Struthio camelus: one gene and its partner. The protein of the gene in region 1 binds, or shares a complex with, the protein of each later gene. Links are inferred from orthologs where the notes say so. Each region holds a gene or a part of one and is shown in the gene's direction. Other genes may lie near its edges.

Region 1 (7,050 bases):
ACATCTTGCAATTCTTCATTGGAAAGGTCATTTATAGGAGCAAAAGAGTTATTTCTCTGCATGGGTTACTCACCATCTTTCCAAGTGAAATAAGCTATAGCAGCAAAAGATCTCTCCATTACAAAATGAGTAATGTGACTGCCTGCGTGCTCTGTCACAGAGTAGCATCTTTCCATACGAAGGCTTTTGAGGACACATCGGAAGACAAAAATACACATGTTAAGTGGTCATGATTTGGATCAATGTAGGTTAAAGAAATCAGAAAAGCAAGGAAACAAAGCAGTTTAAGGACTGTAGTAATTATAATCAGTAGAATAATAATCTTGTATAATTATTAAAGCACAGTAGCCATTTTTTAATGGATGTGTCTGTATTGGTCAGGTATTGACATCTGAAATAGTGGGACAATTGTGTGCTGGTGACAGTTACTATAGCAGTTAAGAACAACTTCAGTTGTTTAAAAATTAAAGATTAAGAATGGTGCATCTATTATAAGGGAGGATCCACAAAAAGGTCAATAATTACTTCAAAAAAAGTCATGTTTTTCAAAAGTGTTGCTAAATTTCATCCATGATTTGGAAGCATTGCACACCCAAGAGATAAGGACGGAGAGCTGCAGCTATGCCAAGCTAAAAGCATGCGGTGAGCAGATAAAAGCATCTTCAGACTTGGATGACACAAACCTATTCAAAAGGGTAAGGAATGAAATGCCCATTTTTGTGAAACTGAGCGGCTGCTTTGTTAATCATGTTGTTTTTCTTGCTGCTGATAGTGCTTTGGGATTATATACAGTAGCTTTGCTTCATTGTACAAATTATTTCATTGGTCTCATGCACTTTTGGGTACTGCTAAGAGTTGTTTTCTAATGTTTTCTTCTTGACCTGTTATTTGAACTGGTGTTAGATTCTGATTCTGAGTGATGTCAGGTGTTAGATGTTTAAACTAACGTTTAGCTGCTAGGTGCGAGGGTACTTGTTAAATATTTGTTTTTTAAAGTTGGCTGAGATGCTATGAAGTTATTGCAGGGTGTAGAGGTCTATCAGACAGGGGATTATGAATCTTTCTCAGCACCAGTCTGTTGTGAATTCTCACATTTATGTCTCTCTTTGGCTGATATCCAGAGAACTCTAAATGCAACTAGCTGATTTGTGGTAACAAACCGACTTTCAGATCAGGTTGCTTCAGGAATAAGTTGCATCTGTAGTGGGACCTTTTTTCCATATGTGTCATCTTTTTAGTCATGAAAGATCTTAGCCGCAATTTTTTAAGTTGAGCTGTTCAAGTGTAAATCCTGAAGAAGACGGGGAAAGTGGAAAGGAGAAAAGAGAAAATACTTGGTTGGAAGAAAATTTTAATTTTGTTGGAGTATATGCTCTACTACACCAATTTACAAATGTCAACATGTACTACCTTTTTATAGCACATCAATAAAAACCAAACATTTCTAAATATCTGGAAAAATTCTACTCTGAAATTTTAACGACGTCATTCAAACTATACATTAGCAATATGTCAAATTAAAAGTTTTTGGGATGCCTGTTGAGAGATTATGTGCTTTACTGAACAAAAAAAAAAAAGTGTTTTATGGAAATACTTTCTGTGAAATCCTAACCCAACTGGATTACAATTTCAACCCTTCAATGGGGCTAGGGTTTGTTCTCTTATGTGAATTAATCATTGATGGGAATATGTTGTTCCCCATGTAAAAAGCAATGTACAAGTGGAAGAGGACAAGAGAGATGGATCCATCTGTATTGAAAGGGGAAGAAAGTGAGGGATGATACAGCTCTGCCTTCCCTGTTTTGCCACCCCCAGTGTGTGTTTAGTTCCCTCATACGCAGGAGGAGCTACTGCCTCTGCCTGACAAATTTGTGGCTGTGAGGTGAGAACACAGCTAGAATGTGATATGGGTAAAGCTATGTTGTTAGAATAAGAACTTAAGACAAAGAGGAGATCATGAGGTGAAAGACTAATATATGCTGTTTGTGTAAGCTCGTGTAGAAAAAAAACTCTGAAAACGTTTGAGAATCCATAGACCTCAGGAGACTAAAATAAGCAATCTCATTATATTACAGTTTCTCTTATAATACACAAATACACAAGACCAGGTAGATGATTGACACATCGGGACCATCTTTGAATGATGGTCCATGTGCATAAATTCAAGTAGTTTAGATTGAATCCCTGCAGTTTCTGCTGCGTTGAAAAGTGCTCATTCATCCTCCGTCTTTTCGTATCACGTGTCTATGGCATAAATTAGAGCAGCGCGTGTCACGTAAGCACTGAATGTGCTTTAATTCCTCCCAGCCTTTCAGCTGAATCGATGTTTTGCTGTAGATCTAAGTGGATTTAGCTTTTGATTTTAGTGGAACTCGCTTTTTTCCTTGTATTAGTGTTTCGTTTTGTGTGTGTAAGGAAAACTTGTTGATCTCATTTGGGTGCGAGGATCTTTGCTATTATCTCAAGAACCTCTATTGTTTTTTCAAAAACTCAGTGTAGCGTGTCTTTAGGAAGCTAACAATGCAAACTGTTTAAAGAGATGACAATCCCAGCGCTGTGAGGATTTTGAATGAACACTTTGATCTTTAGGAATCCTTACAGTAACAGTATAAGGCCTATACTCCCTGAAGAACTGGTTCTTTACTGGTTTGTTATCATCCCAGGTTTAAACTACGTTCCATGGTCTGTCAAGGAGACATTATTACTATAGTCATTACAGAGCATCTCTGATCCAGTTGTCCCAATGCATTCTGTCATTAAATAAAGACGAATCTATTGTTATGGGTTTGAATTGTACACAAGATGAAAGGGCATATTTCTACAGTCACTGGGTGTATTTTACCATGGCAGAAGGTACAGAGTTGAAGAATGCCACTAGCACGGTTGTAAGACATGTTGGAAATTGCATAGGAAGTCCAAAGCCATTTATGACCCAATGTACAAATCCGCCGGCACAGTGAAGTGAATTTTAAAAATATTTGAGAAACTGCTTTGGAGCCTGAAAGCAGTCCGGGGCTAGGTTTGACAGATGCTGAGTTAAGAGCAGCTCTGAACTTTGTCCTTTGTTGAGGTGAACTTTGTCCTGTGTTGTCTGCAGCGTGTTGAGGTGAGATTTCTTCCATGTTAAACTGCAGGTGAGGACTTCCGCTGGTAGAGAAACACTCTTATTCATCAGGTGGCCATTTTTAACAAAAAACCTTTCTTCTTGCTTTTAGAAAACATCCTCTCTGAGGATGAATGCTAAAGTAAAAGCACTATGCGTTTCAGACGCTCTCCACTTTGGTGGCATCTCTAAGAAATGTCCACCTTGAAGTACATAGAGCTGGCCTTGCACTTGTACTTTGGCTAACCTTTATGGCAATGCACGAGCTCGGTCAAGACCCTATTCCTGCTAACTTGTTGGGGAGGTCAGACGCAATGTCAAGTTTATAATGTGAGGGAGAGATGTTCTGCCTTGGCAAAATAGCCTGTAGTAGGTGCAAAAATTAATGATCCCTTAAATGGCTTATGTGTACCGTCTCTGTGAGCAATGCTCTTTTGGATGGGCTCGCGGGGGGCCGCCGCCGCCTCAACCGCCGCCCGGAGCCGTTGGGCGGGCTCGCGGGGGGCCGCCGCCGCCTCAACCGCCGCCCGGAGCCGTTGGGCGGGCTCGCGGGGCCGTCTGCACGCGCGCTGCACGGGCGCTGACGGCGGTGACTCAGCCCTGCCAGGGCTCCCGGGCAGGGTTTTACGGGTCCCCACGAGCGTTGGGAGCTAACCCGTCATTAGCCGATTATAAGGCGGTTACTGCCGCGCCCGCCCTGCTGGCTATTCATCGAGAGGCTCCTCATGCCCGGGTGTAGCCCTCCGCCGGGCAGGGACAGGGGCAGGGCAGGGCAGGGCAGCCTGGCCGCCCCCGCCGGCCCCCCGGCTGCGTCTCTAGGGCACAGCAGGGCCCCTCCACGCCCGGCCCGCAGTTGCGGCGGGGGCAGGCGGCGAGGGGTGCGCCCTCCCGCCGGGGTGCGACCGGCGCCCCCGCCCCGGCCGCGCTCACGTGACCAGCCCGGCGAGGGAAGGGGAGGGGGGAGGACGGCAGAGAGAAGTAAGATGGCCGCCGCTGCCAGGGGAATGTGAGGAGCGCTGCGAGCCGCTGCCTCCCTGTCAGTCCCTGCCTGGGCCAGGGGAGCCGCCCGCAGGGGCCGAGTCCCGCCGGCTTTGGGGTGAGCGGCGAGAGGAGAGAGGGGAGCGGGGCAGGACAGGGTCGGCCAGCCGCGGTGGGAGGGCGCCGCTTGGAGCTGCCAAACAAAGGGCGCCGCGGGGGCCCTTGCCGCCGCCCCCGCCCAGCGGCGGGGCCGGCCGCCGTGTGTGTGTGCGCGCCCCGCGGAGCGGGCCGGGGTCTCGCTCGGCCCGGGCCTGCCCCTCGGGCTCCGCTGAGTGTTTCTGGCAGTAGCAGCGGTGCGTGGCGTGTTGCCAGCGCTCCGAAAGGTCCCCTCTTTGTGTAGGTGCGCGCACCGCCATGGCCGCTCAGCCGGCCCTGAAATCCTCCCTCTCCTGCACGGCGGTGGGAATAGAACAGACTCCAGGAGTGCCGCAGGCACGGTGAGATGTAGCTGTCTGCCCGCGCCGGGAGAAGGGGGAGCCTCTTTTACCGTTTTTGTCTCATTGCTAACTCGGAAAGACAGACCTGTAAGCAAAATATATAGACTGACCTATGAGCAAAGTTTTGTTTTTAGTTTCTGAGGTAAAGGGGCTGAGTTTGAGTATTTAAAGCGTTTGGGACAGGGGTCCGCTGCTTTTCATTTGCTGAAAAATTGGTTGAGTAAAGTGGTTTCTCATCTCTGACTTCTGACCATGGATTAATGTGGGGGTGATACACTAGTATGTTACGTGCATTGGTGACAAACTGATTGAATCATGGAATTAGTTACTGCCCACCACCTGTCAAACAGTGAAGTGGAAGGATTTCAGGAGGTTTTTATGAGGCCAGGATTTTACAGAAAAGTCCACCCTATTTTTGTTTACTGGATAGGCTTTTGAAATGGTAATCTGTTTGAAGATGCAGCTTAGAACTGAAATAATTTTCGCAGTAGTTGTCCGTCATTTTGTGGTGGAAATGTTATGTCACATCGAGTGACTGTAAGGATTGTTCAGTGGAATTGCTATGAATAGTACAGATATCTATGCTATGGATGTTACTGCTGCATGTGAGGAATTAAGAAGCTTGTCAACTTGGTATCATCCAATTTTAAAATAAGACTAAACTAATAAACTTAGTTCTGTTGAATTTTTTCTCAGGGTTAAAGGTTTGTGAAGAAAATGTTTCCAACAAGTTTTCATCTCATGCTGCACTCTCTTTTTCAGGGGGAAGGTGTTCTCACAGACTTACAGGAACTAAATCCTGAAATATCTGTTATTCTGTTAAGTGTAGGTAATGTTGGCCAGTGAGTTTAGAGGCTGTTATGGATAGACGTATACACGTAGAGTATTAAATACTTTGTATTTAAGCCTTGTTTCCACAGCAGACCAAATAAATAACAAGTTACCTACTCAAAATACCTTATAAAATTTAGTTTTGTTTCTCCTTTTTCTTCAGAGGGATGCACGTACAAAGGAGAAATCATGGGGTCTTCTGTTAGACAAAACACAAGAGGAAGAGGCAGCAAGTGTTAGACAAGGGGCGGTAATTTGGCCAGAAGGCTAATCTGTATGGATAGCCTTCAGTGCTTCAAAACTCATTTTAATGAACCTTCAGTTTATGACCTTTGATGCTGTCATCGTTTATTCTTTGTTCTGCAACAGTCGTTTAAAATAATTTCAGAAATTCAGTTATACTGAAAATGCCACTATTTCTGAAATATTAATTAAATATTAATTAATATTAATTCAAAAATAATTTAATAGATCATGATCACAGCCAACTTTTTCCGAAGTGAAAAATACCTGAAAGGTTAGGTTTTTATCATAGAATTTGTGACTGTGACTAACAAAATCTTCATCTTATGATTCAGAGAAGTATTGGGCATGTGAAGCAATGTGATTAAAAAAAACTCTGCTGTAGATTTCTTTGCTTTTATGAGGGTTTTGTACAGGTTCTCACTGAATTGATTTATATTTGTTGGAATAATTTTTTCAAAAAGCTTAACGCTGATGCCTTTTTTGCTTTACTTTCTTTTATTTGAAGTGTTTAAAACCTAAAATAGTACTTTGTAGCACTAAGTATTTTTATTTTATAAGGAAGTTGAACTTTCTCCTGAAATTCAGATGTACTGAGCTATAACTTACTGTTCACTGAACTTATTTACTTTCTGTCTTAAAGATAGATTTGTTTCTCTGGTAACCACTATACCACTATGAGTTACTTTACAATTTTTTCTTTTAGTTGATCTTTTTAATCAGGATAGAATGTAAACATATCTGATGTTCGTTATCAGATTGCGATAGTGACTTTTTGTTTAAATATATAACTATCCAGCCTTGTGTGTGTCATCTCCACTCTTGATTTTCTTGTTTAAAAAAAATCCCATTACTGTAATATTTTAAATTAGGAGGTGCCTAAAATGGGAAAAATTGGACGGAATGAGTTCCATACTTCCAATTTCTTATATTTCTTACTGTTTACTAATATGCACAGTCGCTAATTACAGTTGTAGTGATCTCCTTTTGTGCAGACTTTTTTTCTTCATTATATTTAAGTACAGATTCCAACTTAAAAATGTCTGCATCTCTAGCTGTCTTTTTTTGTCTCTCTTAATATTTACTAATTCTCTCTTCTCTGGTATAAAGTAAATGAAAAGGTGAAGTGGTCTATTAAAGCTTTTTTTAAAAATCTGGATTAAAGGAGTGTGGGTAAGAGACGTAGAAGATATTCTTCCGAATGATAAGGAAAAGCTGAAAATCATGAGGTTATTAGTCAGAATTGAACTTCTGGCAGAAATGTACATTTAGTATTTTTTCCTACCTCTGAGTGCCAGTTAATTATTTAGCATCTCATATAAACTGTTGTGAAAATCTGTTATTTAAACAAAATCCTGGTTGACTCAGTCCCTTATAGAAAGTATCACAGAATGGCTG
Region 2 (7,033 bases), on another chromosome or scaffold:
CGCCAGCTGCGCAGCATCTGTACGGCAGCTCTGATGCGCATCCACGGGCAGCTGTCGACCCCGGGGAAGGCGAAGGGAGCTGTGCCCTGCTCCCCAGCGGGCGCCGCAGGGCTCACCCCGGCTCCCGCGCCCCGCTCACCGGCCGCCTAACGTCTGCCCGAGGGCCGCGGGCAGGGCAGGAGCAGGGGAGCCGGTACTTCAAGCTGGTGCCGCGCCGGGGAGCCAAACCCCCTTTCGCAGGGCGCCTGGCTCAGGTAGCAGCGCCGCAGGCCGGCTCTGCCCGCGGCCGCTTTCTTCCTGCCGGCTGCCGCCGCTTGCGTGTTGCCGGCCGGTTTGGGGACTTAGCTCCCCTGAGCTGGTTTGTTATCCCGGCGGCGCTGGAAAGGGCAGGCGGCCGCTTGCTTTGTGCCTGTTGCAGCTCCGCGCGCGTCTGCAGCACGGCGGGCGCTTTCGATAAGCGGAGATACGCCCGTATCGAGCGTTTCCTCTACGCAAAGGTGACGGCGGCGTTGGCTACGCGAGCCGGCCACTGCTTCTCCCGCGGGAGCCGTCCTGCCTGTCCGAGCCCCGGGGGCGCCGTGCCCCTGGCCTGCCAAGGAGCCGGCCGCCAGCAGGGCCATCGGGAGGCGGGCGGCAGCATCCCCGGCCCCGGGCAACACCACCAGCTCTGCCAGGGGCCGGGGGAACATGCGATGGCGGTTGTCCCCGGCCGAGCCAGCCGCCAGCCCAGCTCCGTGCAGGCAGTCCTTGCACAAGTACTTGCCCCCACCCCGTACGGCGGGTCCCGCCAGGAGGCAGGCGAGACGGCACGGCCAGGAAGACGCTGGCACGCCAGCCGGGGCGTCGCAGAAGCGGGAACGCGAGCAACTTGCCAAGATCAATGTGCCCTTGTGGCCAAGAAGGCCAAGGGGATCCTCGGGTGCATGAGGAAGAGTGTTGCCAGCAGGTCGAGTGTTGCCTGCCCCTCTACTCTGCCCTGGTGAGGCCACATCTGGAGTACTGTGTCCAATTCCCAGTACAAGAGAGACGTGGCTCCCCAGTACAAGAGAGAGATGGCACTACTGGAGAGAGTCCAGCGGAGGGCTACCAAGATGATGAGGGGACTGGAGCATCTCTCCTATGAAGGAAGGCTGCGAGAGCTGGGCCTGTTCAGCCTGGAGAAGAGAAGACTGAGAGGTGACCTGATCCATGTGTACAAGTATCTGAAGGGAGGGGGGTGCGTTGCGAGGGCGGGGCCAGACTCTTCCCCGTGGTGCCCAGCGACAGGACAAGAGGCAACGGGCATAAACTGAACCACAGGAAGCCCCGTGCGAACGTGAGGACAAACTTCTCGACTGTGAGGGTGACTGAGCCCTGGACCAGGTTGCCCAGAGAGGTGGTGGAGTCTCCTTCGCTGGAGATATTCAAAACCTGCCTGGACGCGATCCTGGGCGATGTGCTCTAGAGGACCCTGCTTGAGCAGGGGGGTTGGACTAGGTGATCTCCAGAGGTCCCTGCCAACCTCGGCCATTCTGTGATTCTGTGATTCTGTGATCTTCCTGGCTGTCTCCCCAGCCCCGGGTAGGATCAGTTTGACCTAAACTGTCTTGACAGATGTTTGCCTGAACGGCTCTTGAAAATCTCCCGGGACGGGGATTTCGCAGCCTTCCCAGGCGGCGTGTTCCCGGGCTGCGCCGCGCAAAGGCAGCAGCGAGAGTGAAATGCATTTGAAGCCCGGAGAAGAGGAAGGAGGACGCTGCAGGCAGACGCGCGGGCTCGGCTGACCTGGATCGGCTTTGCCTGGGGGAAGGTGAGGAGCAGCTCGAGCAGAGCCAAAGGCAGAGGAAAGCAATCCCTTAGTGGCCACGCTTTCGCCGAGGGATTAGCTTCCCTCCTGGGTGCAGCTTCCCTATTTTCGTCAGCTACTTTTCCTTCCAATCAGCGATGACTCCCTGGCTGGGTTTCCAGAGGAGGTATCCGTGTGATCCCAAGCAAACCCCAGGGGAAGCATGCAAGCAATGAGGAGGCGCCGCATGCTTGCCGCTGCGGCCCTGCATACGTTGGCCGTCAGTCAGCCCCTGGGAAAGGTCAGCCTCTTCGTGGTCGTAACGTCAAGATCAGAGGCAGCCACCCTCTCCTAAAAACGCAGCCTGCCGGGGCAGCCTGGCCGGCAAGAGGACGCGCTGTTGTTTTGGCCTTTCGGGCTGCGTTTGAGCATCCATGTGGGTTTTAATAATATCCGCGCTTCCACACGTGGGCGTGCAGCCAGAGGTGAGCTGCTGCCTGACCTTGGGACTTTCTAGATCAGGTGCTTCATTACTGGCTGAGCAAAGTATGGGTCGAATCTTGCCCCGGAGAGCCCGGGGGAGGCGATACATCAGCCCTGCAGGGCATGGCGGGTGCACACAGGCGGCTCAGAGGCCCTGTGCCCGTAGGCTTTTGATGCCCCATGCCTGGTTTCCCCACTGGTGCTCTCCTGCTCGTGCTTCCCCAGCTGTTGGGAGCCGAGTCCTAAATCCACCTCGGCAGCCAGCTCGAGCCTCGATGGGTCGCATTCAGACCACGTGAAACGGGGCACACCTGCGGTCAGAGGCGTCCCCTTGGCTCTCGACGCGTGGTGGCCCTCCGAAATGGGGACAAAGCCGTCATCCTACCCAGCTGGGGAGAGCCGTCCGAGGTTATGGCTCCTGGCTCCTGGCTCCTTGCGGAGCGCTTGGAAGAGGCGAGATCCGTGCTGACCCCCCTGCCAGGGGAATCAGGCCCAGGAAGTGCGTTATCACTGCCCGGTAACCACCGCTTCTCTTGGCATGGAGATACCGCTGCAGGCAGGTTGCCCGAGCGTACAAACGTTGCAACGGACCGCAGCGAATTAGGCTGCACCGCTCCTGATCTGACCGTGTGCGTTGCCTGCGCCCCGGGCACTGGAAAACCCTCTGGTTTCTGATGCTCGTAATCGCTCCCTCGTCCTCCACCCGTCCCCACCCGTGGCGGGCGGGAGAACGCACGGCAAATCAATAGCTCCAGCTCAGGCTGCCGGAGGATTTGTGCGTTTTGCACAGCTGTCTCTAGGAAATCTGATATACCGATCGCGTTTCTCCAGAACGGTAGCGATAAAAGCACCTAACGGGAGCGGCGAACGCGCCTCCGGCGGGCCCCGCGGCGCGCGCGCACCGGGAGGCCCGGGCTGCCTCTCTGCCGATGCTCCCAGGCAGCGCTGTGTCTCCTGGTGCGATTTGCTAAATCCCTGCGTCGCTCCGCGCCAAGCTCGCCACTGCCCTGCTTTCGTTTCCGCGTTCATTTATCTCCCCTCCCTCCCCAGCTGCGGCAGCGAAGCACCCGCTCCCCCGCCAGAACGAGAAGTGATTGCCTCGGCACGGCCGCTTCTTCCCTGCGAGGCAGAAAATAGCCGTTTTCCGCCGCTCCCCTGCCTCGCCAGCCCGTTTCTGCAAGCCAGGGCTTCGCGGGAGGCCGCGGCTTCGCCGTACCTTTCGTTAGGCCTGAGGCCGGGGGCACGTTGCTGGCGCTCCTGCCGGAGAAAATAGCCGGTGCTCACGTCCTCCCAGCGTCAGCCTCTTTTTTTTTCCGCCCCCCCCCCCCCCCCAATGAGCCCCCAATGAGGTTTTGGTGGCGGGGAGATGAGTTTGCCGCAACATCTTCGCGGCTCCCCCTGCTTTTGACCTGCTGGTTTCGAAGGAAGGAGGTGTGAGCAACGGCCCATTCGAAATGTCCCCTCCTGAGACAAACCAACCCTTTAAACAGCCAGGTGGCTTTAAAGGTCGGATGCCCGGGGAGGAGGCCGGCTGCTTTGTTCAGAAGAAGGGCCTAGGAATAGTTGTCTGTGGGTGTTGTGCGTTGTCTCCTGCTTTGCAGAACCTTCTTCTTCCTGATTTTGTCAATGCCGTTAAGGAAAATTTCCCCTCTGAAAGACTGTTTCTCTAAAGCCTCTTCTGAAGACTGTTTCTCCCCAGCAAAGCAGGATCTTTAAAAATGCAATTATTTTTTTAAAGATGCTATTTATAAATTATTCTATACGCTCTCAACAAAGCAAGTGCCAGACTGCGCTGGCAGAAAGCCCACTCCTAAATTCTTCTTGCTCGGTTTAAAAATGCAAATAATGTTGTTTCTTGTATTTTCTCCTAGCTAAAACAGCATGGGAGAAAATCACAGCGCAAATCAGTTCCTGGGAAAGAGAGAGAGAAGGATCAGAGGAACGTGGGCGCCTGGGCCGAGCAAAGGCCCTTCGTGCCGTACAGTCACAACAGCATGACTTAACGCCGCTGGGAAGCGGGAGAGGGGAGGCAGAGCTTAGCAGCTCTGAAGCTGCTCTGCTTTACAGCAAAGGCTGGGTTTGCCCAGCAGCGCGAAGGGAGCCCTAGTCTCCCTTTGACACCCGGCTCCGCCGCAGTCCGACCTTCTCCCGGGTGCAGAGCGGAGCCGCAGAGCGTCCTGCCCTCTGCGAGGGGCAGCAAGGTCTAGGCCCAGAGGTGGACGTGCTCTGGACACGAGGCGTCGGGAGCTGCGATCTGTGTCCATCCTCAGCAGGGATGTCTCCTGCCATCCAGACCCCAGCTCCAGGCAGAAGAGAGCGGAGGCCTGAGCGCGTGGCCCTTCCTCTTTTATTTAGCGCTCCTCCTCCCCTCGTGTTTACTTCCTTCCCTTAGTCGCTAGATGTGCGGAGCTGGAAGGTTTGAAATGTTTAGAAGACTAGGAAAGCCCCTAGTCCCAGCGGAGCAGCAAAAAACATTGTTCCTCGGCCAAGCGTGCTCCCAAAGCACATCTGACACGGGAGGCAGATTTAGGCCAATCAGATATTTAAGCAAACTGACCTGTTGCTACAGAACATGGTGAGGGTTGGTAAGAACGATCCCAGCCTCTCTTCTACCTCTGCTGTCGTCGCCTGTGCTAGTATAATAGGAATAAATAGCATTTCCTACCTGCTTTACGTTGGGGTAGAGAAATATCCAAGGGACAAAGGGAAGGGAAGATCACAAATTATTTTCCGTTGCTGAATTTGCAGGCCATAGTCGCACAAGATACTCACGTGCCACGCATCACAAGGTGCGGTACGGATCTCATACAATGCACCCAGTAAATATTAAAGAGAATATTTATTTCAGAATCTGTTCTTGTTCCCCATGTAGCAGGTTATCTCTGGAAGCTCTACTAGGTTCAAAGGGTCGAAACTGCGGAGGCCCACCTCTCACGCCTGCTCCCGCTGAACTCGGTGCTGCTCGGAGCGGCAGCCGAGTCAGGCGCGAAGTGATTTCATCTGGTACAAGTTTGCGACGGTAACGCATCAAAAGCTGGTGACCTGTTAAATGTTAGTCAAGCTGTGACATAGTGGTTAGCTCTCCCTTAAGGTCAGTACTGGGGAGGTCGCTGAGTGTGAAGCTTCTGATGAAGGGCGCTAAAGCTCTATTCATTAAATGGTTTTCTGCAAACGTAATTAAAAGATGGTGTCAGCGAGCTCGGACGTCGCTGCCGCACGTTCCGCTCTTGCTGCTGGGTAAATCTCAGAGCAAGCAAGAGCGCTCACAAATCAGAGGTCCCTGGGCCGCTGACAGTAGCATCCCGCGAAATCACTGCAGCAAGTGAGCTCTGTGCGCTGACGGTCGGCGCGTGCTCAGGCTAAAGTCAGTGTGAGTTTTGCTCTGCGTAGCCGTGCAACACGGCGCGGAGTAAAGCTGAAATGCAAAGAGCCCCTGGGCTTTCGGCTGGAACAGGAGCATTTGTTTCTTTCCAGACCCAGCGAGCCCTGGGCGAGGGGAGACGATGGGCAGAGCACCGCCGAAGAGCCGTCGGACCGCGTGCAACCCGGGCAGGAGAGGACGACGTACGCCCCGCCAATATGCAGCCCTCCATAGGCGCCGGAGATGCCCGAGGCCGAGCACAAAGCGGTTTCCGGGAGGCTTTGCGTCGCCTGAGCCGTGCAAAGGGAGAGACCTGACCTTCTGCGTTATAACACAGCACCGATTGCTCCAGATCCTCGGGATATCCGTGCTTTAAAGGGCAGCGGCGCCTCTGGGCGGGTGGGCTTGCTGGTAGCCCCGCCGTGCCTTACCCCGCTCCAGCGAGGGGGCTGAGCCCGGCGCCCCCGGACAGCGCCTTTGCGACCGCGTGGGGCGAAGGCGATGGCTTGTGAAAGGCAACAGGCTCTGTGTGTTTTACGTAACTTTCGGAGAAATCTCCCTTTTTCTTTGCGGTGTCCTTTCTCTCTTTTCCTTCCACCCCCGGCTTTTTGTGGCCTAATTTTCCTCCTCCCTAAATTCTTTCTCATCCTTCCTGCGTTTTCTTCTACTCTTCCCCTTCTTCCTCGTTCTCACCCTTTTCCCTGGCCGATACCCCTCCATGCCCTTCTCTCCCCCCCGCCCCGTCTCGCCCCTCCCAAGCGCCCCCCGCTCTCCCTGCCCCACTTGTCCCCGTCCCATCCCAAGGGAGCAGCCCCAAGCGGACGCCCGGGGTGGGGGGCGAGGGCACCCTCTCCCTCCCCACGGCAGGCAAGGGAGGCCCCCGGGGACTGCCGTCCGCAGGGAGGAGAAGCCCGGCGGGGCTGCCCATCGCATCCGCCGCCGAGGCGCCGCGTCTCCACCCAGACCCGCTTCTCGCCCGGCTGCCGGAGGGGATCAAATCTCCGGCTCAACAGCTGCAGCCCAGCGCCGGGTCCCGGTCCCCTGCCAACCACCGGCCGGGCGGGCAGCCCGGTCCGCCGGGAGCTGATGCGCGCAGGAGCCAAATTAGAGCTGTGCCGGGGCTGCCGCCGCTTGCTCCGGGGCCGGGCCGAAAACCCGAAGGAGCGCAGAGCCGGTCGCGGTGCAGCAAGAAAGAGGAACGGGGAGAAGGGGAAAAACACCAGCTGGCTGCCGGCAAAAGTCCGAAAAGAAAGCGGAAGAGGAAGCGCGTGCCTGCACGTCCTCGTGCAAAATGTAGTCACGCTCTAGGACATGGGTTGTTTAACACCGCCCGGCACAGACGGTCGAGGTGCGCTCAGCAGCGCCTCGGTAACTGGTGCCTTTCGAAGGAGCCTTTCGCTCAAAGCTCAGCCCAGCCTCGCCGC

What was found. Proteins that work in one complex are often made in the same cells at the same time.
Region 2: the proteins of KIDINS220 (region 1) and XPR1 are in contact, whole or in part, in a cryo-EM structure (PDB 9JXQ), measured with the Homo sapiens proteins. The link is inferred for Struthio camelus from reciprocal best matches to the Homo sapiens genes KIDINS220 and XPR1. Residues at the interface, in NP_065789.1 of Homo sapiens: Glu36, Cys37, Gln39, Asp70, Trp72, Met102, Trp105, Trp110, Tyr113, Lys114, Val138, Ile142, Trp143, Gly146, Arg147, Ser166, Asp167, Lys168, Tyr169, Gly170, Trp176, Arg179, Lys180, Gln198, Glu199, Gly200, Ala201, Ser203, Lys234, Arg267; in NP_004727.2 of Homo sapiens: Leu95, Lys189, Lys190, Gln193, Glu197, Ala200, Asn204, Glu205, Ala636, Asp637, Asp638, Leu641, Leu642, Gln644, Met645, Met646, Asp647, Gln648, Asp649, Asp650, Val652, Arg653, Asn654, Arg655.

Annotation. Positions count from the first base shown.
Region 1 is NC_090944.1:25,362,341-25,369,390, forward strand, and holds the start of KIDINS220 (kinase D-interacting substrate of 220 kDa), read left to right. Parts: upstream 1-4,047; 5' UTR 4,048-4,199; intron 4,200-7,050. UniProt on the Homo sapiens protein: Promotes a prolonged MAP-kinase signaling by neurotrophins through activation of a Rap1-dependent mechanism. Provides a docking site for the CRKL-C3G complex, resulting in Rap1-dependent sustained ERK activation.
Region 2 is NC_090949.1:6,778,797-6,785,829, forward strand, and holds the start of XPR1 (solute carrier family 53 member 1), read left to right. Parts: upstream 1-4,019; 5' UTR 4,020-7,033. UniProt on the Homo sapiens protein: Inorganic ion transporter that mediates phosphate ion export across plasma membrane.